2 linked regions of the Saccharomyces cerevisiae S288C genome follow. The gene in region 1 interacts genetically with each later gene. Each region holds a gene or a part of one and is shown on either strand. Other genes may lie near its edges. The genes, in order: LRG1 and VRG4.

Region 1 (10,553 bases):
TCGCAAAATGGTTCTTTAACGGTGATGATCGCAACACCACTAAAGTTTGGGTAGCCGGCCAGCAAGTCTACCAGATTTAGTTGTATATGTTTAGAGGGCTACTATATCTTGTTCCAAGTATTAATGAGTAATTTGAGTATATGTACAAATTTCTTTTGCGTATCGCGCTTTAGCCGCCCATTGTACAATATTAAGATTAGGAACACAAAGAGATTTGCCAGTGAAAGAATTGCAAAACTCGGTTTGGGATTTTGAATGGGATAGTTGAATACAACAAACTTCTCCGAATATGAATCATTGGTTAGCATTTTTGAATAAGCCTGAATCCCTAAAGGAACAAAACTCGGATTGCGACCAGCAGGGGGAGATGAGACATGTTACTGATGGCACTTTAACTAAGTCTCCAGAAAGTAAACCTTTTCGAGAGCGGCGTTCACAAACTTGGATAGACTCTGAAGTACCTACGTCCACTGAAAAATCTAATGTGCAGGAAAGTATTTCTTCTGATATTATATCAAAACTGTCGAATAGGCGTTCCCGAAGAAACCGCTCAGAGAGTTGGGCAGGTTCAGAAGCCTCTTCACCTTCTGGTAACATTAGTACATTGGAAAATGCTACGGAAAAAAATACTTTAAAATCGCCTAATAAATTTCTACAAAGGGGTGGTTTACCAACTGTAGGAATAGGCTCGCAGGCTCTGTCACCTGCAGGAAAGCCCAGTACATTAGGAAATGTAAGCCCTGGTAAATTTACCACATACAAAGTACACAATAGTATTGAAGTGAATAGATTTTCTTCTACACCTACAAAGCTCCTCACGAATCCCCACAAAGTCGCAGCAATCTCAAATGATGAGCATTATGTTGTAAGCAATGAGAGTCTGGAGGAGAATATAGAGGTTGCGCATCTAGAGAACGTATTTCGCTCATCTAAAACTCCAGATGAAGAACAGTCCGAATATATGAAATTAGGAGAAATTAGGCTATCTTCTTCATCATATGGAGGAAGTATTTCTAAAGAAAATAGTTTACCCAAGGTATTAGATGAGCTCCAGTCCCAAAATGAAGAGATCAAAGCACTAAGACAAAAACTAGAAGAGAAGGATGACAGGATTCAAGAACTAGAAGAACTTAATAGCATGAATGATGCTAAACTTCAAAGAATAGAAGACTTGCAGAAGGAATTCCACAACGAAAGAAAAGCTGCATCAAAAAGGCTCAACATTGTTCAGGACCGGTTTCGCAAAGAAATTAAAAAAATTAGAGAAGAAAAAATTACAGACTTTCAAAACAAAAACGCTAGCAAGAAGGAGAAGAATGAAGTGACTAGTGCCAAAACTAAATGTAAAGCTTTTTCTCAAAGAAATATTTTAGTTTCGGAACTATACAGGAAGCAAAAACAAATCCTAAACTTGCAGCAAGAAAATGATAAATTTCTAAAAGATATTAACGAATCGAATAACTCTATAGTAAAATTAAGATCTGAAGTTGAAATACTGAAAAGCAATTTGCAACTTTCTCAAGATGAAAATAAAAAATTACATGATAATGGTTCGTTTTACGAGAAAAGGTTAAATGATGTTTACAGCTATATGCAAAATCTTTCTCTTTTTGAGAAAGACCTTGGTAAATTCATACTAGAAGAAATGAAATGTGGCCATTCCCCTTCGATGTTTCAAAACGGTTTTGCCAAGCTTTATCCGGATTTTCAAGATATCAAAAATCTTGAAAATATGGAGCAATACAAACAATTAAAAGGAAAGATAGAACTTTTGGAAAAGAATGACCGTATACGTCTTGAAAAAATCATTTCTGTCTTTAAATTGATTAATGAAAGATTACATTTTATGCAACAGCAGCACAGTCACAAAATAAAATATCTTCAAAAAGAGGCGTTAACAAAAGAACAACAATTTCGTTTGGAAAAAAGGAGATGGCATGATATCCTGAACCTCAAGGAAGAAAACTTTCAAAAACTGAAGAGCGAGTTAAAAGAAAAATTAATACTAAGTGAAAAAATTCAGAAAAATGCCGAAGATAAATTGAACGATTACATGAATGAACACCAGGAAATTGTTGAGAAACTTCAGAATCAGGCTTTGATTGCTTCAAGATGGAGCACTCAAATTCAAGAGTCAGAAAACACACATAAGAAAATTACTGACGAGTTAGCTGGAAAACAAAGTGAAATATTAAAACTCGAAGAAACAATTCTATCACTAAAAGAAGATGTATTCCAAGAGAAGCTGAATTTAAAAAAACTATATGGTGATCCTTCTACCGAACTTAATTTTGAAACTGTTGGAAAATCTTTTCCACATATAACGAAGGAAAAGTACGACTCCTTGGGTCTTGATATTCTGACAGACCTTACCTATGTGCAATCGCAAAATCTAATCAAAAATTTATTAATTGTGTTGGATATCCCATTAAAAACCTTCTTAAAAATTGTACCAACAATTGTCATTCAACTTAGATGTGAGCTTACACTTCTCACAAAATTTGCTAATGATTTGAACCTTAAGGTTTTTGGTAAACAGTTAGATTTCAAAAGTAGAAGAAAGGTCGCAATGAATGAGTTTTTGAACAATCATGATATTGCTGAAGTAAAGCATCCTCTTGAGTATGATTTGCAAGCGTTGTTTAAATATTTCTTTTCTTAGCTTTTTTTTTTTTATTTAGAACTAATATATTCAATGGTGTCATTAATTATTATTTAGAGAATAAGTTACTGGTGGGGGGTGCACCTAAAATAAAGTCACATAATATAGAGCATGGCAGATATTTTACCGCTGGTATTGCTTTTCCGAAATTTTGGTGGAATATTCTTCTGAAAGATTTCAATTTGCTAACAGACTTCTTAAGCACTTACAAGAACAATGTAACTTCTGATCTGCTGTTGGAGATGTTCTGAGATATAAACAAAATTTACATCAAAAGGCGAGTAATACAATGATACAAATGATTATAAGTACATACTAATGTTACAATTTCTAATTCCATTTTAGTCAGAATATACTATGTTGTATAATAATAAAATAATGTCCATTTCCATAGCATACTGGTAAGATTTTATTGAAATAGGCAAAGAAAAAAGCAAAGAACTCTAATAAGAACGACAAACCTCGAAATCTGAGGGGAAGGAGAAGAAAAAAAGGAAAATGAGGGGAAACTTACAGTTTCTGCCTATTATTTGTTTATTTCACCTTGTATGACCGTTGTGGTCGAATCTTTGACTGTGACAGGAGTTTTTATGTCACATTCGGAATAATCGATTGTTTTACTTTGCATAACGGTGGAAATAAAATGGTTGATTGATTCGTAGTTATCTAATTTTTGTAACTGCACATCTTTTAAAAGATTCATTAAAAATTTCGGAACCATTGCCATTTCTTCATTGTGAGTAATCAGGTAATCAACTATCTCAATAGCCAAAAAGTAATTTTCTCCCTTGTTTTGAGCGAATGAATCAACTAAACCTGATTCTGGTTCGTCAGGGACGTTATCATTGGAAATTTCTTTATGTCGCAAATATAAAATATTAGGTGTTATGACTGTGGATAAATTGTGAATGTCCATTTTTGATCCCATTTCATTCTCAATGTAAGAGAATGAGGACGTCCAATGCAAAAATGACAAAAGTGCCTCCAGTAAATTGCGATTGTAAGTGGGTAATAAGGAATATATTAGCAATATAACACGCTGTTTCTCATCCTCTAAATCAATTTTCGCGGCCTTAATCCATAGTTCATATAAGTCTGTCGATAAAATCGGTTGGGGAAGCTCTCTGATAAATTTCTTCAAAAGAGCAGATAATTGGATTGCATTTTCTTTCGAGAAGTCTGGAGCTTCTGTTGGATTACTGTCGATGTTAGCAGTTAGTTCTCTCAGTCTTCTGATATTTCCATTTTTCCTGAAAATACCTTCTACTGACATATCCATTTGCCTCAAAGATGATATTAGCTCGTCAATAATTATGGGGATCCTAATCTTCACTGGCCCCACACCTAAATCGGAATCAACACCCCATTTCTCGCACAACACATCTAAAGGAGCACCAAAAACAGTCTTAGTGATGGGCTTTTTAGGCTCCATGCTCATCATGATTTTCATTCTGTTCCAAAAGCTACCTGTGACTTGCTTTTCATTCGAGAAGACCATTGAGACTAAGCTAGTATAGTTAGGATCAGTCTTCGATATCAGTTGTTTACCAGCTAGCAGTGACAAACTGATAGCCCTTATCATCGAGAGTTCCATCGTACTTAATTCAGAGTAATAAACTCCGCTTTTCTTGGGAACAACATTCGAAGTTTCGTCATCGGTTTCTTTTAGTTTTTTAAAGTGTGCAAAAGCGTTAGGTCTTAGCTCCCTTGCTTGTTCAGCGGCAACAATACGTGAAATATCATCTAGTGTCAACGTCTTAGTATTACTGAAAACATTTTCACGTGTGCTCACTTGTTGGCTCGATGATGGGTCATCTGTTTGAATCACAAGATTTTTACTATCTCCTTGTTTTGTCGGGTCATTTAAATCTGTCTCTGCAGTTTCCAGTATCACTGATTTTCTAGCTTGTTGTTTGTTATGAGTGACCCGAACACTTTCTCTTCTAGATCTCAATCTTTTAATATCATTCAGTGTCCTAATGTAAGTTTGTTCCTTTAGCATAGTACTCTGTAAAGAGTTTCTGCCTACCTTGTTAGATGCTTTCGATTTCAACATTACAGTTCTTGATTTGACTAGGGCAATTTTTAGAAGAAAAATTAGTTGTGCTAGCTTAGTAACAAATTTGAAACCCGGCACAGAGGCCGGATCATCAATTGAGCAGTGAGAACATAGTATCTTTTTTTTCTCTTTATTAAAGGTGGGATCCGTCAAACTCCTCGGATTTATATTCTTATGGCATGAAGAACAAGTAAAACAAGCAATATGCCACCGGTGCTCATAAAATTGAATGCATTCCTCCTGTATGTATTTATTGCATCCAGCGCAACTATCTGTGGCGTTAACAGGAGTCTTTATATACTGAAACGGGTTATTTTCAAAAAGCTCATTTTTCTCTACTTCTCTTAAAAACCTCAACAATGGATTAACAGAATGAGTCAACTTATTGTTTTCTAGAGCCGTATATAGCCCAAATCTTGTTAACAGTTTTAGAAAATGGGCTAATCCAGTAATAACAGACATAAAAGATGAAATTGTGATAGTTTCGTTTTTGTTTTCTGTCCCTAACTTTCTTAAGAGTTGTAAATATATCATAATTTTTGTGGACAGATTTTTGGGAAACTTGCTGTATTTACTGGCCGCCATTGCGTTGTTTTCAATGCATTCTTGATCACTGTTAACTGGCATACTTTTGTTCGTCGAGAGGTTTAAAGTATCCAGTCCCCGGAAAAGACAGTCGATTTTTAGTACCAACAGACCCGTAGACTCTATGCCCTTTAACTGATCATTGCTTGTCAAATATTGAAACATATCAGAAATGCAAGAAGCTGCCTCTTCCTCAAAACGATATAAAACCGACCACGTTTTAGATAGAATAAAGTTAAACGCCTGCATTTGTTTATCTAACTCGTAGGCAGTTGGGTTTATATCTTTGTCTCCGGAATTTGGGTTATATTCCAGCTTGGGAAGGTACTGCAAACCAACAGTTTCTGCTGCTAAATTTACATGCCAATATTTATGAATTCCATAACATTCCGGATGCCAACAATGTATTTCTTCACCTTTAGGAAACTCGATATATTGATCCGATATTGGGAACTCGCACCCTTTGCAACGTTTCGAAAAATACTTGAGAAAGTGGTACTTGCAATACAATTGGTTTCCGTACATGAAGCATTTTTTAACCCCACAAGGAGTAGCACATATTGTACAAGAAAAATGCTCTTCGTCGTATCTGTAACCGAATGCGGTATAATATAATCCACGCAATGGGGTATCACATACATGACATAACAAATTATGTCTTCTAAAATAATCGTATTGGCATAACAATATAGATTCACTTGTCTTGTCTACTTGATATGGGAAGTACTTCGGTTTTAAAGGTTTCTGACAGTCTTGGCAGGTAAAACAACTTTCATGATAATATTTACCGAGAGCCTTTAAAGTTGTTTTAGTTCGTTGGCTATCGGGTATAACTAACTTGTTACAACGGGCGCATATTTTCTTCTGATTCTTCACCTGCACGGTCATCGGAGATGCAGTATTCAGCGATCGATAACCAGCAGAATTTTGAATCATTGCTCACCTCCGGTACTTGTTGTTTGATAATTTGTCTGCTCTTTTTTTCTTTGGATTTGAATAAATACGGTTGCGTATATCTGGGATAAAGGCCAAATAACAATGTTAAGGCAAAGACGGATACTGTTTTGAATGAGAAGCCCAATTGCTGGTTTCTAGCAAGAACAGCCTTGGTTGGCTCGAGAGGAATGATTTACATATTTTAAATTCTCAAATGACGTTTCAGATTCTGTTCTTATTTGTTTTCCATTTTGTTTACATCTTCCGTGCCCATCAATACCCGGCATACTTTGAAGACGAAAAAGATACTTACATAAAGATAAGGATATACTCGCCAAGATCGATTTCTTGAAGTAAATACTTTGTGGGGAGGTGTTGTAGCGATGGGCTAACCTGCAAGCATTAAGTTATATTTACTAGTGAGGTACGTTGTAGAAAAGTGCGTTACAACGAGAAGTAATTCAAACGTAAGTAGCACATGCGGGCTTCTTGATATATTTGCTAGCTCAAAAAGCTAACTGAGTACAACATGGGGGCCACCCATGTTGATTATGTTCTGGTCGTAAAGTGATCTTTTACGGGTTATATTGTTTGCCCATAATTTCAGTTTTGAGGTGCCTATCGCTTCTTCTCGTTTTGTTTTGGGAACGTTTGAGTATTTACTTTATAGTGCACTTTTTTGCGTTTTCATCTCTTGACTGTTCGAAAACCAATGTTGGTGAAGGAAATAGCTAAGTATGACCTCGCCTTAAACCAATCTTAGTATCCTGTCTCTTTGCCACAGCTATTTCCTACTTCCATTAAGATCAATTTCTTTGCTATTGGAATCACAGGCGACTTAGAATGCATTTTCTATACTAGTAATTCGCAATTTTCTTGTTTTCCACAACGGTTTAATACTAAGCAGATGATATGACAATATGGCAAACATGATATACAGAAGAGAGCTTAATGGGACCAACTAAAGTTAGATGACACCATGGTCCAATTTTCTGAGCATGAACAACGGCAGAACAATAGCTGAACTGGACCGATTTGATTTTTGAACAGGAAATCTGTAATTTTTTATGCTTTGTTTTATGTAGCGATTTTATGATTATTGTTAATTATACATCTCACAAAAGCCAAGAAGAAATCTGAAAAAGTGAGCCCACACGTAGACTATTTGACGCTCATGAAAGTTGTCAAGCCTTGTGTTAGCGTTAACGTACTTCATTTAAAACATGGCCGCTTCGTGAGAAGTGGAAGCATAGTATCGATATTTTCTATAATCTAAATTATTTTAGTGCCCATAATGCAGTATACTGTATCGTATAGGAGTTCTGACTTGCTAATGTAACACAGTAGACTTCACCTTCACTTATGGATACCATTGGCTTATTAAGACATCAGAGTTCATTAAATGAATAGTAACAATCCTTGCGCAAAAAAAGGCGTCGATGACGCACTTTTGCGTTCAAGTTTTATATACTTGGAAAGCTATGACTGATGAGACGGACCTGTTTCGCATAGAAATTCGGTGCTTAACATGTAATTGCACCTTTGTTTTTGAGAAATCCATGAATTTCGCGGTAAAGGCTCGATTAATGATTATTCTATATATATGTACTATAAGCCGATTATCGCAGTTTTTCCAGCCTCCTTAGTAAATTACCCACTGTTTTAAGATGAGTCCTACTGACGGGTTACATTTTTATAGTCTTTCTTCTCAGGCGACCCAAAGTTCTGTCTGACTGTCTCGTATTATATGTAGAAACGATAAAAAATTATATGGTGGCTACTGCGACCACCAATCCAAAGTGTCATACCTTGAGAATTAGACAATTGTATACAACACTAGCATGAACAGTATGGTAAATTTGGCGAGAGAATGAGAAGGCCTTGTATTATGTATTCCCGCATTGGTTTCTGTACCTTTCCCTTGCAGAAAACCACATGCATAAAAGTCGCTTGCCACATAACTCGCATTTGTGAAGCCATGCGAACCACACGTAAACGTTTCAGGACTTTCAGCAGGCTGCCCAGTGAGAAATGTATCATAAAAAATTGAATAAGTTGGGTTCTTTTCTTTAGCAGTTTTCTTTCCTTCAGCTACCCCACAATTATAAATTTCTGTCGGCGTATAGGTTTGATTAATATAGCCCTTGCTACCGCACTTAAACAATAGAGCATTTTCAGTTACGTTCATTTTTTTGTGTCTCTATTATAGATTTTTCTTGGGTGTGATGCAAAAATCGCTGATAGGAATTATAATAAAGGAATATATATATATATATATATATATATATATATATATAGGTACTAATTGGCTTTTCTTATACGCCTCCTATTGATTCACTGCCGAAAGTGCCCTGTTATATACGACAATCATACGCCTGTTTGCAAATAGTCAACATATTCAACTCGGAAGGTAAAAGATGAAAAGGCAATTTTTTTGATTTTCTAAGAAAATGCGCAGCGGGCAGAAGGGTCTTCGCAGGCAACTGAGTAAAGAATATGAGAAAAGCCTCTAAATGTTGAACCCTGAAAAAGTTTCATCTATTTTTGATAAAGACTTTTCAATAGTGCAGGATCACGCAAGAAAAAAAAAGGTCCTTAAGAGCAATTGTGGGAAAATATAATACAATGCTTGCGTTAAAACTTCTAGTTACCTTTTACAACCGAAAGTAAACACTAGCATGGGCTTGGAGACGAGCAGCGCAAATTATATAGTTTGAGATAGAACGCTTTCTCCGGTATTGCCTGGGGAAAAGGAGTCACATGATTAGAATCGGCGAAATTTTTTTTCCAAAATTAACAGCAGGGTTGTCTGGATGTTTTATTGAAAATAGAAGCCAATGACAAACACAAGAGGCCAGTAGTATATTAATTTTAATGTGCATTCTAAAGCATCCTCACGTCTTTCAATCTGAAGTTACTGTTCGAGAAGGAGAAGAAAAGAAGGAAAAATGAAGGATATGAATAATAACATGAGTACTAGTTACGTCCAATCTGGTCACACCATATATTGATGCATCTTATGCGCCATAACTTCTTTTTTTGTAGCTATAATTTGTTGCCAGAAAAATGAAAACTTTTCAAAATCAACCAGTTTCCAATTTTTCTGCAACTCGTTATTTATGAAGATAGATGATGATTGACCCCCTTTCTCCAAAAATCGATGCAGCATTGGGTTATTTTTTGAGCTTTCTAATTATAGGGCCATTTTCTAGCAAGACTGTATAGCACATGCTCGCAAAGAACATGGCGTAATGTTCATAAGAAACAAATTTTGTAAGTTTCTTGTGCCTTTTGAGTTTGAAATCATTGACCAGAACAATGAGAACTCTAAACACGACAAATGGATCTTAAATCAATTTTCTTGAAAACATCTTCCAGTTTCGATATTCGCACATTTGCCGGTAAAATAGTGCAATCTGCCTATACCTTTAAAATGGGATCTTGAACGCGTACCTGAAGGTTTTTTTAAATAAGGCCGAACCTAAATGTTGCCTTCAAAATTAACCTGTATCAAATTTTGAAGCCGAAGTTGGTATCCTCACATTGTCTAACCTCATGGTCTCCTAAAGTCCGGCGATCACTTTCCGTTGCGTGACTATTGATGATCAGACTGTCAACAATGTCGTTCCGGGCCTCCATAGCTTGAAGAATTTTCGTTGACGGAACTAGAGGAATGGCAGATGGAGATGACCTTAGTTTCATGTCGCCTTGATAGTTATCAAAGAGTACAGAAACAAGACGTCTCTTGCTCAATAATAAGGATTGGATCAGGTGCTTACAAATTTTATTCGTCATACAAACAATTACTAATATTTTTTTAATATTAAGCGTACCCCTATTTGATTGGCTCTCTTCTAAATTCATACGTTTTAAAATCCGCTTTCAACCGTCAACATAAAATTAGTAAGCAGACCTCGTTCCAAGACCCAACTAAGTTGCACTAAATATCCTCGAACAAATTGGGGGCAGATTTTTGAACCATATAAAAGTCATGACAATATTTCCAGATCAAGGACAGTTGCAGTTCTTCCTTTCATCGGCCAGCTGACGAATTGACTGAGCGGCTTTGTATTTCACTAGAATACACTTCCTATAGCTACAAAATATTATTCAATAATATTAGTGAATTATTTAAACCTCTACCTGAACCACCTACCGAGTTGGGACGTCTCAGGGTTCTTTCTAAAACTGCCGGCATAAGAGTTTCACCGCTAATTCTGGGAGGAGCTTCAATCGGCGATGCATGGTCAGGCTTTATGGGCTCTATGAATAAGGAACAGGCTTTTGAACTTCTTGATGCTTTTTATGAAG
Region 2 (8,162 bases), on another chromosome or scaffold:
TTTAGAGTGCAGCCTCTGGAGGTCTACACACGTTAATAGTCTCAAAAAATACGCTAATATTTGTTAAATAAGCGAATAGGTCTTCATGTGCGCCTGAATCAGTAGCTGTCTACATGGTAAAGAGTAATTTGTTGACACGAAAATTGATAGTTGGTTAAAAAATATTGCAGATTCAATACTACATGAAAGACTTAATTACAAGATAGACTGATGGTGAAAAAAGAATGTACAGGTTTACCGGCAAACATTTTGAGAAATTAAAGCCCAAAAAATTTTGTGTACCTTATGATTTTCCTCCTCTGTCTAATCCAGTTCCGTATCTGGGTACTGCTGCTTCTTTGTTAAAATCGCAGCATGCTTCCCATTGTTGGGAATTGACTTTGAGCAATATTTAGTTAGTAACTACCATATAGGTGACTGTCGTGTGCCAGCTATAACAGAAATAATCCTTTCACCATGATCATTGTAAACGATCAAAGAAAACTCTGAAGGGACTATAATGCAGTCTTCATGCAGACACTTGAAATATACGACATTAGTAGCTCCCAAGGTAGTAGGCACATCCTGCGTAAATTCTCCACAACCATGTTGTATATATAGCAGCCATAGTATGACCGAGCACATGGGACGTACGAATAAAAGATTTTCTCAGATCCCTGAACTTGAGCGTCAACCATGAATTTCTCTACTTTTTTTTCGAGCAGTAATTACCATTTTAGGTTTGATTACAATCACAGCTTCAGCAGAATTTGATTTCGACGTAGGCTATGAAGAGTTTGTCCGTATCAACCCTGATAAGACCTTCTTAGAAAGTGAGATTGGCCTTTACGTTGGTTGGACCGAGGGTAGTCAACGGCAGATAACAACGATACCACATAATTCCACGTTGGCGGCATCACTACAAGAGTAGAATGGTTGTGGTGGTAATGGCACAGAAACCTCCATCGCTACGTCCACACTTACGATGAGTGGTATACCTATCGCTACGATAATGAAGCACAGAAAAAGTGTACTTATCATATTACCGCAACTATGTACGTGAGGTGTAAATTATGGCTCTCATAGGACATAAGTAGGACAGAAATTGAAATTTTTGTGTTGGCAGAGCGAAAGAAACTTGAATTCGTTTATGAGGAATAAATTCTCAGCTCCATCCATGGTTCCAGTTGACGCTATGATACGCAAATTCCTTTGTGATACAGGTATCATTTCTGCAATTCCTCGTAGATTGTTGATCATACCATAAGATTGATGCTGGGGAAAGTGGAGAAGCTAACTTAACGATTGAGGCCTTGGCAAACCCTGTTAAACCAGTACTATCGGCCTTAACATGCGACTTAGAGAGAGAGAGAGAGAGAGATGTTTGCGTTTGCGTCATGATAGAGATGCTACATCCACATAGTTGTTGTAGACATGTTTAAAGGTACAATTCTGCAACAACGCCTTGAAATTTTCCAAAACTAACCAAGCACATTGGAGTTACGCTTATATAGTAAGCCACTTCACTTGCGTTGCTGTAAAGGTTGATAACTACAGGTAGGAATTAATGAATGTTAAATAAAAAAGGGAAATACCATCATCTCGACAAGAAAGGCAAAATAACTTTTCAATCTCACCAAGACGCGCGAACGAAACTCGTGCGTCTATATTAGTATCTTGACGGCGCTTTTACATCATTAAAGGTGTAATAAAACTGAAGTCATGCGATGGCACTGAAATAATCAAAGTAACTATTTGTGATGGCATGCACTGTGATATGATCTCAAGGAAAAAAATGCAATGTCGGGCGCCAATACTTATGATCATGCTTAGTCTCGACATTGACCTTGCTTGCTACAGTAATCTGGTGTCCGAGTAGTGACATCTAGGTACCGGTGAGAACTATATCTTCATTACTACACTTGTCGCCCCTGAATATTATCGCTACACACGCGAAAGAGCTCTTGTTAAAGTTACTCTCGCATCATTGCGGTACATGTTTTGCATATTCATCTGAAGTAGGAAAGGGTATAAGCAGTATATGATGTACCATCTGCATAAGCGGTGTTTAATGCGTACCTATCGTTTAAGAACAAAAGGAACACACCCACACCCGCTCCAATACCATATTGAGAGAATAATGAGGTAACATATGCTTCTATTTGGTTCGATAAGACGGCTACTAGTCCAAAAAAAGTCAAACAACAATTTCAACAGCTACATTCTGAAGATAGAACGCATTTTTGCCTGAATATTGCAACTCAATAGACATTCTAAAGTGCTACGAGAAAAAAGCTTGTAATGGACCATGGCAATGTGCGCCATATATATATGCGGCTCCCTTATGAGTAGAAGAAAATATATGACTGGTGGTACAAAGTGGCATGGTGGTATATAGATGTAGGAACACCATTTGAGTTTGCCATAATGATTAAATTTCCCTTTTTATAAAGAATTAGCCGCCCATAACACGAAAAATATCACAGTTGACGAAAGAAGACACGTCGCCTAAACGCGTAATGAATCGCAATATACGAAAAGCTAAACGGGTTTTTCAGAATCCTCTTACCCAGCCTTGGATAATAGTTTTGGCCGAAAAAAAAAAAAAGAAAGAAAAAAATTGAAATTTCGCGATCCGAACAAACAATGAACAGAAAAACAGAATATATATAACGCTGCCAAGCCTATTTCTTGTTGCCGATTAATTGTTGACATCCTCTTAATTACCAAAAGAGCCTAAGAAAACAAACACACTAACCACACAGTATCTTTCGCCCGAATGTCTGAATTGAAAACAGGTCATGCAGGCCATAACCCTTGGGCTTCAGTTGCCAATTCCGGTCCGATCTCTATTTTATCCTACTGTGGTTCCTCTATTTTAATGACGGTGACTAACAAGTTCGTCGTCAATTTGAAGGATTTCAACATGAACTTTGTCATGCTTTTCGTGCAATCTTTGGTTTGTACTATAACCTTGATTATCCTACGTATACTGGGCTATGCGAAGTTCCGTTCATTAAACAAAACAGACGCCAAGAACTGGTTCCCTATTTCCTTTTTACTGGTCTTGATGATCTACACCTCTTCGAAGGCTTTACAATACTTGGCTGTTCCAATTTACACCATTTTCAAGAATTTGACTATTATCTTGATTGCTTATGGTGAGGTTCTCTTTTTTGGTGGCTCTGTCACCTCCATGGAATTGTCATCATTTTTGTTGATGGTCCTTTCTTCTGTCGTTGCAACTTGGGGTGACCAGCAAGCTGTGGCTGCCAAGGCTGCTTCATTGGCTGAAGGAGCAGCCGGTGCTGTTGCCTCCTTTAACCCAGGTTATTTCTGGATGTTCACCAACTGTATCACTTCTGCATTATTCGTTCTTATAATGAGAAAGAGAATTAAGTTAACTAACTTCAAGGATTTCGACACTATGTTTTACAACAATGTTTTGGCTCTACCTATTCTATTGCTGTTTTCTTTCTGTGTGGAAGATTGGTCTTCAGTTAATTTGACCAATAACTTTTCTAACGATTCGCTAACTGCTATGATCATCAGTGGTGTTGCATCCGTCGGTATTTCTTACTGTTCCGGTTGGTGTGTTCGTGTTACTTCGTCTACTACATATTCGATGGTAGGGGCTTTGAACAAGCTGCCAATTGCCTTGTCTGGTTTGATTTTCTTTGATGCTCCAAGAAACTTCTTATCTATTCTCTCCATTTTTATTGGTTTCCTATCAGGTATTATTTATGCTGTTGCCAAACAAAAGAAGCAACAAGCCCAACCTTTACGTAAATGAGAACTTACGGGGGGTGCAATTTATTTTTTTTTTTTGGTTTATTTTATTTTATAGAGGCATCTAATGCAAGTAGATTTATATACAATTATACTTAAAATTGATATACCTTAGAACAGGTCGGACACAACGTGTGGTAACTCCAATATATCACTAATGACAATAGCGCCTTCTGGTGTTTGCCCCAAAATTTCATTTACTTCATTCTCAACTAAATGAATACATGTTTTCATGCCCAATTTGATACCTGTCTCGATGTTTTTCCCACTGTCATCTATAAAATAAGCATTCTCGTATCTTGCCAACCCGCTTTCCTTCATGGCTTTTTCAAATGCTTTAACATGTGGTTTGCAGACCAGCGTATCTGTCCTAGAGTAGTCACAATATGTCAATCCATCAAATAAATCCGCTATACCCAACAATCTCAGGCAACGTATTGCGTGGTTTTTATAAGCGTTGGTGAAAAGCCACAATTTATCAATCTTTCCCGATTGTCTCAATCTCAACAGCATATTCCTTAATGGTATATCAGGTTTCAAGATATCTTGTAGTGGTAAGGAATCATCCACAAGCCGGTTATATTCCAGTGCGTTCACTTTGTGGAACATTACAAGTCCCCTTATGGCAAGTCCATACTCTTTGTAGTAAGAGTTATTCAAAACGTGAGCATCTTCAGGTGATAGTTTCAAGTGTGTTTGAAAGAACCTCAGTATAGATTGTTGCATAAGATCGTGAATTCTCGTGGATGATTTATAGAGACAGTTGTCGATATCAAAAAAGAAAACTTTTAAGTTCGGGTTTTGAGGTGTAGCAGAAATATCTTGATCGATCGGAAATGTCACTTTCGAACCTGGATGAGTCAATGATTCAAGATGTGCTTTATTCTTGGCAATTTGTTCGTTCACCTCATTCTGATAGGTTGCCAAATCGGATGCAGTATATTCAACAGTCATGAAGCCTAGTAATGATTCGGTCCAAGAGCTTACTCATGTATTCCGAAATTAATTCAGGTGAAATGGGGGAGTAATATGATATCAAGAAGGCGATCACTTATTGAAGTCCACATAGATACACACAGATAAACATATATATATTATGTATATATATATATATATATATATATATATATATATGTATATATCAACGCCCATACCATTATCATTATCAATAAGTTTGCGAGGCGGGTACCCTCCCTCGTGCTATTATATTACTGTTGCCTTAATTGAGTAATTTGATCGATGACTAATTGCAAGAGATTGTGATTGTTGTACGAAGTTATAAAATCATCCACAACACTCGTTGAGTTTTCCAGTGGTGAAGGTAAGCGGGATGAGATCTGAGTCTTAAACTCTTGCAATTGAGTAATCAATTTATTTCTCAAATCTGTCAGTGTCTCTTGAGGGCATTTATACAATTCTAAGTTTTGTAGGATTTCAATCGTAGGCTGCACCGTTTGATAAATTTGCAACGTGGTATCATTGGTTAAACCTTTTGAATAGAATACCGCTGTATCAATATATTGTTTCAATGCATCATCATCAAGTGGAGATACAGTGCCATCATTGAGGTTCGTATCATTATCATGGAAGATATCTAATTTATGAAGAGTTTCAGGCTCCTTAAGCTTGGCTCTCAAAGTAGAGAGTGTATCCAAATGTGTGTTTATTTCTTTCACGGTTCTCCGAATGAGATGGTCTCTAAAGGTGGACGAATTCACAAAATCGACAACAATCGCGTCCTTATATTGCTGATTGGAGTGATATTGATGATCTTTGCTGTTGGCACTTGATATCAGTAACGCTTGAACGTTATCGTTAAATAGTGTCTCGAATAGGGATTCATTGAATATAGAAAGTAAATCATCGTCCCACTTCGAGGAAAACTCCGTGTTTAGTAAATTGTATAGTTTTACCCACTGTAGTAAAGTTAAGTTTAATGTCTTCATAGAGTCCACCAAGAACTTCTGTAGTCGACAACATTTGTCCTTGACAAGCGCTTCAAATTTGGAAGGAACTGGTATCAAAGATAATTCGTGGAAATTCAACAGTAGCTCGTCGAATATCCGCGACGGAGTAGTGGAAGTAACTATACGATTACAGAAGTTGTTGATGGAGATGGTCCAATTTGAAATTACTAAAATGTTTTGCGATGGTATGCTGACTTTTTCTTCGTCACGAGGTGGTGATATATGGGTAGTGGTTTGGTATGGTAGTGGAGTTAACTTATTCAACTGAAATTTTTCATCATTGAAACACAGGGATTTAAAATCTTGATCAACATTTTTCAAATTGAGCGACAAGTCATTAACAGAATCGGTCAAGCTTAAGATCTTGTTATAGTTCTTTAGCAAATTCTTTTGGAAGGCCTCATTGGTTTTAGTCAAATCGTTCTGTAACTCCAATTGATAATCTTTAATCTGTGGAATATGAGAATCGCGAAACAATGGTAAGACTTCATCCATTTTCTATCGTATTGGTTTTTTTTAGGTTTTCTACCACAAGATTTGTTGTACGAATGTGTTATTTATTATTCACCGCCATGTTTCATTTTTCTTCAGCATAATGATGAACTGTAACAGAAAATAGGAAAAAAAAATTGTCATCTGAGAAATTGCTTTGGATGACCAGATCCAAAACAGACATAAGCATTCGTATAATTGGTACATAGGTATATATCAAATAAAAATATGCATTATTCTAAAAAAAAAAAAAAAAAAAAAAAAAAAAAAATCAAAAATGTCTCTCTAAAGGGTGATTATAAAAAACTTGGTTTGGGCAAGTTTTTAGCCTCCCTTGGACCATTAGTGGCGAAAGTGGAGCCTGCATAAGAGTGACTGAGTTTTTTGGCACTGCCATTACAACCCATTGGTATTATCCCTTGAGAGCCATGCGGGGATTGTTTCTGGTTCAGAAGCAGATTCTTTAGGTTCTGACTCAGTAAACGAGTATCATCTTTGTTGTTCTGTCGTGGCGTTTCTTTATTATTCTGTCTGTTTTTTTTACCTAAAGTAGTTGTAGAGGAAGGGGAAGAAGGTGGAGAGTGCTTCTTTTGATTAAATGATGGTTTCTTGTTGGAAGAATGGCCGAAGTTAGGTTTCTGACCGTTAGGAAGAGTTTGAGGAGGTGGTATATCTGTGATATAGTTGTTATTATTGGCGTTCTTAGCAGCATTTCCCCTCGCACGATTATTTCTAGTTTTTTGTTTGATTAGATTATTTGTCTTGTTCCTGCCAGCCGATGGCAACAGCCTGGAGCTGTTGAAATACATGGTATCCGTCGACATGCCTTGTAATATTTGTGTGAGTATATTTGTGTGCTAAGTGTAATTACGTTACGCTTTGCTGAGTACTTCGTCTTCAATACAGAGTATGTTATTGTCCTTGTTATTTGAAGACTTTTACCTTTTCTATCCGTATTTCTCTATCCGATACAACAACATCATTTTACACGAACAGCCGGATGATAAAACTGTAGTACGTATGGTATTTGTGATATCCTATATAGCCATATAATTACTAGCAGCTATGCAACAGTCAAAGGATCGCAATCCATTTTGCTTACGACTACTTCGTGGCCCTCATCTTGCAACAAGCCCTTCATAACGTCTTGAAGGAATCCACGCTCAGTATTTGAGTGGTTGCAAACAATAACGGTCTTGCCCATTTCTTTCCACTTCAGTACTTCATGATGTGACATTTCTCCCGTATAGTAAAGGTCTACGTCCTCTTTTAGTTGCTTAAACACGCCAGAACCGCTCCCGGCACAGACAGCGACTTTTTTGATTTTGAGTTGATTCCATGCGGATGGAGCAGCAAGAGATGCTACTTGTACATAGGGAACCCGTAAAACACGCTTGACATTTTTGACAATTTGCTCCAAAGAGATGTCTTTATTGAATTCTACGAATCTACCGTAGCCAATCAAGTCGTCAGTTTCGCCACTTACAGTTTCCAAGGCATAAGACTTTGCGACGTTCTCTCCGTTGTTCAAACCCCTAACCAACCAGTCATTTACACCGCCACGAGCGGCATCTACGGCAGTGTGAGGGCAGTATACGGATATTCCGTACTGGATTAGCTTTATAGCTGTCTCGTGTTGTGGGTTTGTATGTGGGCTTAATCTGTTCCAGCTTGGGAAAATAAAAGGATGGTAAGCAACAATTACGTTGCAGTTAGCATCCACAGCTTCTTGAGCAACTGACTTCGTGAGGTCTACAGTCAAAAGGACCTTTGTTTTAGCGTTTGCATCGGCAGTGGTGACTTGTGCAGTGGAACAATCGATGAGAAGACCCGTATTGTCCCAGCTCTTGTCTGCGTACTTTTGAGGGTAGAACTTGGTAATGCTACGCACAAGTTTGTCCAATTGTGCTCTAGTAATAGCTCTGCTCATTGCGT

What was found.
Region 2: mutations in LRG1 (region 1) and VRG4 together harm fitness more than expected from each alone (negative genetic interaction), as found in Saccharomyces cerevisiae (one large-scale study listed by BioGRID).

Annotation. Positions count from the first base shown.
Region 1 is NC_001136.10:18,512-29,064, reverse strand, and holds LRG1 (GTPase-activating protein LRG1), read right to left. Parts: upstream 6,243-10,553; coding exon 3,189-6,242; downstream 1-3,188. Other genes in the region: GUD1 (guanine deaminase), read left to right, coding at 1-80; ADY3 (Ady3p), read left to right, coding at 290-2,662; YDL241W (uncharacterized protein), read right to left, coding at 8,059-8,430; YDL242W (uncharacterized protein), read right to left, coding at 9,753-10,106; AAD4 (putative aryl-alcohol dehydrogenase), read left to right, coding at 10,499-10,553. UniProt on the Saccharomyces cerevisiae protein: Acts in signal transduction. Activates CDC42, RHO1 and RHO2. Negatively regulates 1,3-beta-glucan synthesis. May be responsible for the down-regulation of CDC42 during mating.
Region 2 is NC_001139.9:74,136-82,297, forward strand, and holds VRG4 (GDP-mannose transporter), read left to right. Parts: upstream 1-2,758; coding exon 2,759-3,772; downstream 3,773-8,162. Other genes in the region: SDT1 (nucleotidase), read right to left, coding at 3,880-4,722; Golgi transport complex subunit COG1, read right to left, coding at 4,977-6,230; EDC1 (Edc1p), read right to left, coding at 6,524-7,051; NIF3 (uncharacterized protein), read right to left, coding at 7,291-8,157. UniProt on the Saccharomyces cerevisiae protein: Involved in the import of GDP-mannose from the cytoplasm into the Golgi lumen. Defective copy causes severe glycosylation defect and abnormal retention of soluble endoplasmic reticulum proteins. Involved in vanadate sensitivity.